Linked DNA regions of Ovis aries. The protein of the gene in region 2 binds, or shares a complex with, the protein of the main gene of each other region. Links are inferred from orthologs where the notes say so. Each region holds a gene or a part of one and is shown on either strand. Other genes may lie near its edges. The genes, in order: PRIM1 and POLA2.

The links.
Region 1: POLA2 (region 2) and PRIM1 share a complex: the UniProt entries of both Homo sapiens proteins name them as parts of the alpha DNA polymerase complex. The link is inferred for Ovis aries from reciprocal best matches to the Homo sapiens genes POLA2 and PRIM1.

What each region holds. Positions count from the first base shown.
Region 1 is NC_056056.1:162,928,719-162,932,539, reverse strand, and holds part of PRIM1 (DNA primase small subunit), read right to left. Parts: intron 2,916-3,821; coding exon 2,846-2,915; intron 2,439-2,845; coding exon 2,353-2,438; intron 1-2,352. UniProt on the Homo sapiens protein: Catalytic subunit of the DNA primase complex and component of the DNA polymerase alpha complex (also known as the alpha DNA polymerase-primase complex - primosome/replisome) which play an essential role in the initiation of DNA synthesis.
Region 2 is NC_056074.1:39,931,574-39,935,394, reverse strand, and holds part of POLA2 (DNA polymerase alpha subunit B), read right to left. Parts: intron 2,131-3,821; coding exon 2,024-2,130; intron 1-2,023. UniProt on the Homo sapiens protein: Accessory subunit of the DNA polymerase alpha complex (also known as the alpha DNA polymerase-primase complex) which plays an essential role in the initiation of DNA synthesis.

The DNA.
Region 1 (3,821 bases), on a different chromosome or scaffold from region 2:
TATTTATTTATTTGGGCCACTCTGTGAGGCTTGCAGGATCTTAGTTCCCTGACCAGGGATGGAACCTGGGCTCCTTGCAGTGGAGGTATGGAATCCTAACCACTGGACCATCAGGGAATTCCTTCAAGAAGCTTTCAAAAGAACTGGAAAAACAATTCCTCTATGTAGTAACAGAAGACAACATATAATTAAAGGCCAAACAGGCATACGGATAATTTTGTGTCCAAAGAACTGACCAATCACAGTTGACTGAGGTAGCTATGAACTGGGTCTTAGAAAAAAGATTTAATTAGATAGTCAGTGAGGAAGGTAGAGAACATACCAGTATTTGGGAAGCAGAAAGGAAGGAACAAATGGTACTAATATGAAAATGGACAAAAGTTTAGAATCATAGAAATTAAAGAAATAATAAGAACTTATATATATCACCTATGCCAGCCTCCCACCTCATCTAAAGCATCCCTGACTTACTCACGGCTAATAGCCTGTATGAATACTTGAAAGAGCAGTTTATTTCCGAACAGATATTTATTATAAAGCTTCTCCTTATAGGGAGCCAAAACTTGCTTTCTTAAAACCTCTGAATAAAATAAAAAGATGTCCACAAAGAGATACTATTAAATTTATTATTCTTTTATTATTAAATTTAAAAAGTTGTGTTAAAAGTAATTTGCTAAAAAAAAAAAAAGTAAAATAGTATTAACAGGTTTTTGTGGAAAAAAATAGCAGCTCCCTGCTAACCTTTCCATCTTCTTGAATGGCAACTACTTTTTTCTTTTCTAGCACTTACTTCTAAAAATGAATACTTCCATTTTTACTTAGAAATTTAAGGCCATTCTTCCTAGGTCCATGGCTTTTTTGTGGGGAGGGACTGTAGGAAGGGGTCTGAAAGCTCTTAAGATCTTCTCTTAATTCTGTTAAATTTCAAAACGATGTGCCTTGGTGTAGGCATATCATTCTCATTATGCTGAGCCCTTTTAACAAAGGGCTCATTTCTGGGATGTTTTCATATATAATTTTGGCAATTTTTTCCCTCCCTATTTTATTTGTTCTTTTTCTGTCAGATATTAGACCTCCTGAATCAGTCTTTAATTTTATCTTTTTCCTCCTTAAAAAACATAACTAACTTGTCTTTTTTTTTTTTTTTTCACTACTTTCTAGGAAGTCTCCTCTTTTCTTTTCCAGCCCTTCCAGTGAAAGTTTTATTCTAACGATTATGTTTTTGATTTCTAAGACCTCTTTCTTATTCTGAATGTTTTTTTCCCCATAGCATTCTGGTCTTGCTTCATGGATACACTGTCTTCTCTTAATCTCTGAGGAGATCAGTTTTTTTAAAAAAAGGTTTCCTCTGTTCCTTGCATTGTTTATTTTCCCTGAGTTCTTTTTTTTTCCAGTTTATTATTTTCCAGTTTATTTGTTAGAGACTTTTGTCCATTATTTTAAACAGAATGCTTGTAATCATTCTATAAATATTGATGGAGGAATGTACCTTGTTTATGTTAGAGCTGAAATATATGAAGTGACATTTGAGCTTGGATTCTGAAAGCAAGGTAGCAACATTTGACTAAAAAGATCAATCAGAGATCTGTTCTGCCCATTACAGTAGTCACGAGTCACATGAGGCTATTTAAATTAAATGAAGCTAAAAATTCAGTTTCTCACATTTCAAGTTCTCAAAAGTCATGTATAAAGGCTAGTGATTACCATTTGGACAGTGCATGACATTTTCATCATAGAAAGTAGTGTTGAACTATTGCTATAGTGTCTCTTGGGTATTGGTATAAGATTTGACTTTCACTAACTCAGGGAGATGGTGATGAACAGGGAGGCCTGGCGTGCTGCAATTCATGGGGTCGCAAAGAGTCGGACACGACTGAGCGACTGAACTGAACTGAACAGGCCGTTTTATATTCCCATCTCTTTCAAATTATTGGATATACAATTCAGTTACAGTTTAGACATATATTTAACATAACACTCATCTGGATACAAAAATAAGTAGAGAACGAAATACTGCATACATGGTAGTTGTTAAGTAGATAGTTATTGAATCTAAGACTGTGAGATTCAAACAACTGTCAAAATCAATTGACAATTTAATCTTTCAGTATAGATCCTGGCATTAAATGTTATTTTGTAAATATCTGTAGACTCACATTGGATTCAACAGCACCATTTGGGCAACTGATGAAGGAGAGAAACATTGTGATCATATTATTTGCTACTGAGCTGGTTTCAGGATAAATAATGATCCATTCTGGTCTGAATCCAAGGCAAATTAATTACTGAGTCACAGAAAGACGTCAATATAAAAAGATTATGTTAAAGTGAGACTTCAATATACTAACCTACCTCTGGTTCTGTGTTTAATATCAGATTCAGCTCCATTCTCTTTTTCTTCTTTAGTAGAAATAACATCCAACTCATGGCAAATGGAACTACAAATAATAGAAGATAATTTAAAAGTTGATTCTTGGTCAATATTACCCAGTGTATGAAAGCACATGAATCTCACAAGATTTTCTGTGAAAAAAATGTGGCCAAATGAATTTGGGATATTCTAAACATCATACTCTCTTTCTGGAGTTTTCCATGCATGTTAGCATATTAAAGACTAGGAAATTTTGCTTAAGTCAACACTTCTCAAACTTATTTGAACTTTTTTTTTTTGCATAATAGTAGCTGAAAAATTTGTGTTCTGTAGAACTCACGAGGAAATGCTCTTCTGGAAGGGCACCATCATACAGCCTCAGAGAAGCTGCCTCTCCAGAAGGGATCTAATCCAATTTACTTCACATTTACAAGTCACAAACAAAAAAGGAGTGATCAGTGATCTGGAACATACCTTATGGTTGGAACAGTAAATGGATCAAACTGATCCACTTTCTGTAAGTCAATAGGCACAGAAATGCGACCTGTGAAAAACAAAAAATTATAAGCTGAATATTGTACAATACAAATAATTATAGGCTGTGTCCTATGAGTTATTTTTGGCTAAAACTTTAAGGCTTAGAAAGAGGGTTACACTAATCTGTTAAGAATATTTATTTAGAAATATAAAAGTACTTTCGGGACTTCCCTGGAGGTCCAATGGTTAAGACTCCACACTTCCGATGCAGGGGGTATGATTCTCTTCCTGCCTAGGGAACTAAGATCCCACATGCCATGTGGCCAAAAAGTTTCAAAAAATACATAAACAGAATAAAATTGGGTCTTAAAAAAAAGTACTTTCATATTAGTGCCTTTTATTTCTCTAAAAACACCAAAAAATAGATGTGAAAGACTGCTGAGCTATTACCTAGTTGCTCTTATATCCATTTTGATTTCTGTTTTTCTCTTCCCTATATCCTCCAATATGTACGTACGGAACAATCTCAAATTTAGTGAGTCCTGAAGATGGAACACAAAATAGATGGAAGTAGTTTACTTCATTACTTTAATTTGCTGAAATCAAAACAGACACCTATGTGTTGAGCATCTTTGGAAATAATATAAATGACATATTACCCTTTTACAAAATCCACATCTGGGACATGAGGATAAAATTCATATCTGAAAAATGAGATAATGAATTTAAAGAATGGCAGGTGACTAACAAAATAATTAAGGAAATTGAGAGTTACGGGTAGAAGGCAGAGTGAAAAGACTATAGCCATTTAATGGGAAAAAGATATAATAAAAATGTATACTTACGAGTGAATGTAATTAGTTACTCAAATCTTGAATATTAAATAAGGGGAATACTCACTGAAGCTTTAGAATATTAAGAGAAACATTAAGAAACATTAAGCTTGTTACCAAAATAAACTAAAAACACATAA
Region 2 (3,821 bases):
CTCCAAGTCTCAATCGGCAAGTTCTCGTATTTCTCCTCATTCGCTGATAAATTCCACCTCCGAGGACACACAGTGTTGCTGATCTGCTTAGAGGACAGCGAGGTCTTCTAAGCCTTTGGTTGTGAACAGTGCACCAAGAGGCCTGCTTACAACAGGCTTCATTTAATGCCCTGAAACCCTGCGGGAACCAGTTCTACATAGGCACTGTTACAGTGGGTGCTGCCAGTTCCTCCTTTCCACAGAGGCTGCAGCAAACGAGCTTGACTAATGACCTCTGTCTCCAGTGCTGCCTCCACCTGAATAATTTAGAAGTTACTTTCATAAATTACGAAGCCAGTTTCTGATGTCAGCTTTACTGGCATGCGTTACAGAATGACGAGGCAGGGCATCTCAGCTGCGCCAAGCTCCTCCCTGCGAAGCTCTGTGCGGCACACATTACAGCCGGCCCTTTAACCCAGGGAGATGCTCACGCGGGGTTTGTTGCAAACAGATCTGCAAGTTTCAAAGTCTTGCTGTTGAGAGAACAGAACTGCTGCCATGGTGCTGGCACCTACGAGAACCACTCTGTAACCAGCCATCTCTGTGCATCCAAAGATGCCCTTCTAAGTCTACACAGTTCTATTCGGAAGCCAGGGTGAAAACTCCTGAAAGCAGGAGTGGGCCACACTAAAGTCAAATCCGCCCTCAGGATCCAACTACCTTTCAGAGGACTTCCCCGGTGGTCCAGGGCCTAAGACTCTGTGCTCCCAATGCAGGGGGCCCGGGGTTCAACCGCTGGTTGGGGAACTAGATCCTGTAGGCTGCAACCAAGAGTTCACATGCCACAACTAAAGATTCCACGTGCCACAGCTATGACTGCTGCTGCTGTTGCTAAGTTGCTTCAGTTGTATCCGACTCTTAGCGACCCCATGGACTGCAGCCTACCAGGCTCCTCCATCCATTGGGGTTTTCCAGGCAAGAGTACTGCAGTGGGTTGCCACTGCCTTCTCTAACAAAGACTAGGCCGAGCCAAATAAATAAATTAAAAAATTGAAGAAAAAAAGAATCTGACCCCGTTCTGATCTTGAACAATGCTAGCACTCCCTTTCTTTCTTTCGTGTGTTTTGGCCCTACCAAGTGGCTTGTGGGATCTTAGTTCCCTGACAGGGATCAAACCTGGGACTACGGCAGTGAAAGTGCCGAGTTCTAACCACTGGACTCCCAGGGAGGTCCCTATCACCTCCTTTCTGATGTGACAGAAAAGTCTTAGGTTGGCAAGTCTTAAGCTCTGCTTGGTCTAGAAGTGACTCCTGGCAGCCAGTGTCGCCCTAACTGGCTCACGCCACCGTTCCTTTGCCCCATCCCGATGCGGCAGCACCTAAAGCCCTTTCTTCTCCTCAGCAGAGCTCCCACTACGGAATTCTCTCATGGAACACGTGTCATTTATGGATTTCCAAAAGTCACACGTGATCCCTGTGGATTTATGTGCAGAAGTGGCAGCAGGGATAAAATACCAATGAAGTTGGGGTAGGTTCAGGGACAAGAAAACTCTCAGCAACTAGCTGTAACCTGAGTGAGGAACAAAGAACAGGTTACGCAATGTTATGAACAAAGATATGTGCTTTTCTTTTTTAAAAATAAATACCTAAAAAAAAAGAAGAAAGAAAGAAACCCAACAACACATGAACTAACAGAAGCAGGTGGAAACCTATTAGCCTCCTCCTGGCAAGAGACTTGCAGGCTCCCCAACTTCTGAATAGACAGGTTGTTTTTGGTAGGAGGTATCAGGTTCTGAGCTAGGAAATGAGCCCTAGAAAAGAGGGTGGAAAGTGAGTTTCCTTAACTACCAGTAAGAAACAGTAACTTTCCACACAGGATGAGGGCGGGGAGGGGAGGGAGCAGTCGGTCTTCTAGCCAGTCGACTGCAGAGGGAAACGTCCACCTCTCTTCCTTAAGTCAGGTTGTAGTGTCAGCCTCTACCAGGTAACCAGAGAGAGGGGAGGGCGGGCCTGCTGCCTGACAGCTGAATTATCAGAATCCATACCTTGGAGAGAAACTCGATGGTGAGAGGAGCTGATGGGGGCTCCGAGCAGACACACTTCTTTTTGTGAGGGGGGTTTCTGGGGTAGTGATAGTTCGCTTCTGAGAACCCTAGAAGCAAAGCAGGAGAAGGGCGCAGTTACTCTAGACTCGGGTTGCTAAGTGAAGCACGCATATCCTTAGGAAAAAAGGGGGGACGTGCCCGGATGAAGGGCACAGACCACACAGGGCTGGGTTTCTTCTGAAGGCCCCATCTTTCAAGCAGAATCTCAGACTTTAGCAACTGTAATACAGTCCTCGGCAGTACGCTGTCTCCATTTGGGAGGCAACTAAGAAACAAATGCCAACAACATCCCCCGACAGGACTGCCAAGCAGGCGATCTGTCCTGTCAAATCGCTCGCGTGTTCATTTTCCTTCCCCACCTCTCTGCTTTAGCACAGCTGGGAGTTTGGCTACACACATAGTTTTAACCTGCACGGACACATTTTCCTGTCAAGGGATGGGACCATGTTACTATTTATTCTGGCAAAGTCTACCACACATTTTCAGAATTAAAGAAGGGAGTGACTCCAGGCAGATAACACGGGTGAGCTCATACTTGGAGAGTATTTAGCACACGCCTCACTGATGGTCAGTTTTGTTTTCTGGGTGGTTTTGCTCATCAAGAAGAATCCAAAGAGATGCCTGGAGTGGAGGGTGAAACCGGCAAATCCCGAGATCCCTTGCTCCCCAGAGTCTGGGACAACGGACTGTGGCTGAGCAAAGACAAAATCCTCGGCTGGAGGGAAACCAGGCAGCTGGCTAGTTGGCCAGCGTTCCCCTGCCCTTGGGCTCCTCCTGGCTGCGGGTTTAGGTTATGCCACCAAAGCTGCCTACGGGGTGACTAGGGACAGGCAAGGAGAAAGAAAGCAGGATTCGAAACCACCCTTAAGTGGCTGGAATGGAAACTAGATTTTAAAAGGACCCTTCCTTATGTGCTACACTTATACAACAGCCATTTAAAAATACTCCTTTCTAGTATTTCAATATTTTTCCAATTGAAAAAATTCTAATAGTTATAATCTTAGTTTGAATATGATCCTTCATTGAAGTATTGTATATTATGAGTTTTTTGCTCTATATTAATTCTGAGCATTTCTCCCACATTGTCAGTCTTCATCCTTTCTGGTAGCTGTGTTGATGGAATTGATATATAATAGTTTACGTAACTACTTCTCTGTTGTTGGGTGTATCTGTTTCTGGAGACAACAAATACTGAGGTGCTCACTATCACACAATAGCTTTTCCTGGAATTTGGATAATTTCTTATGAGAGATTCTTACTAGGAGCGATTACTGGGCCAAACGATGGCAAAGATTTTACGGTTTCAATAGGTTTTTCTCAAACTATTTTTCCCGAAGACCCTTCTAATACATAGGGGGCTACAGAGCTCCAGGTCCATCTCCCAGGATGAAGCAAGAGGACAGGACTCTGGGAAAGAGCAGAGCCTTGGGGCTCAGCCCTCAGCCACGTGGTGAAGCCTGATTGTGCCAGCAAACCAGCTCGAGACGTTCCTGGGGTGTGCTCACTCGCAGCAAGCTCAGGAGACTCACTGCTAATACTATTGGCTGGTTTACCCACCCATAATGAGACATACAGAGGGACTGCAGTCTCACACCCTGGGGGGAACTCATCCTCAGAGCACACAGGAACCCAAATTTTAGCCAGATTATTCATTTATTAGAAAAAAGATGCCAGAAGCATGGGAACTTCAAATCCCCAGGCTGATACATCTTTCTCTGTCAGGCAGGACATGTGGAAA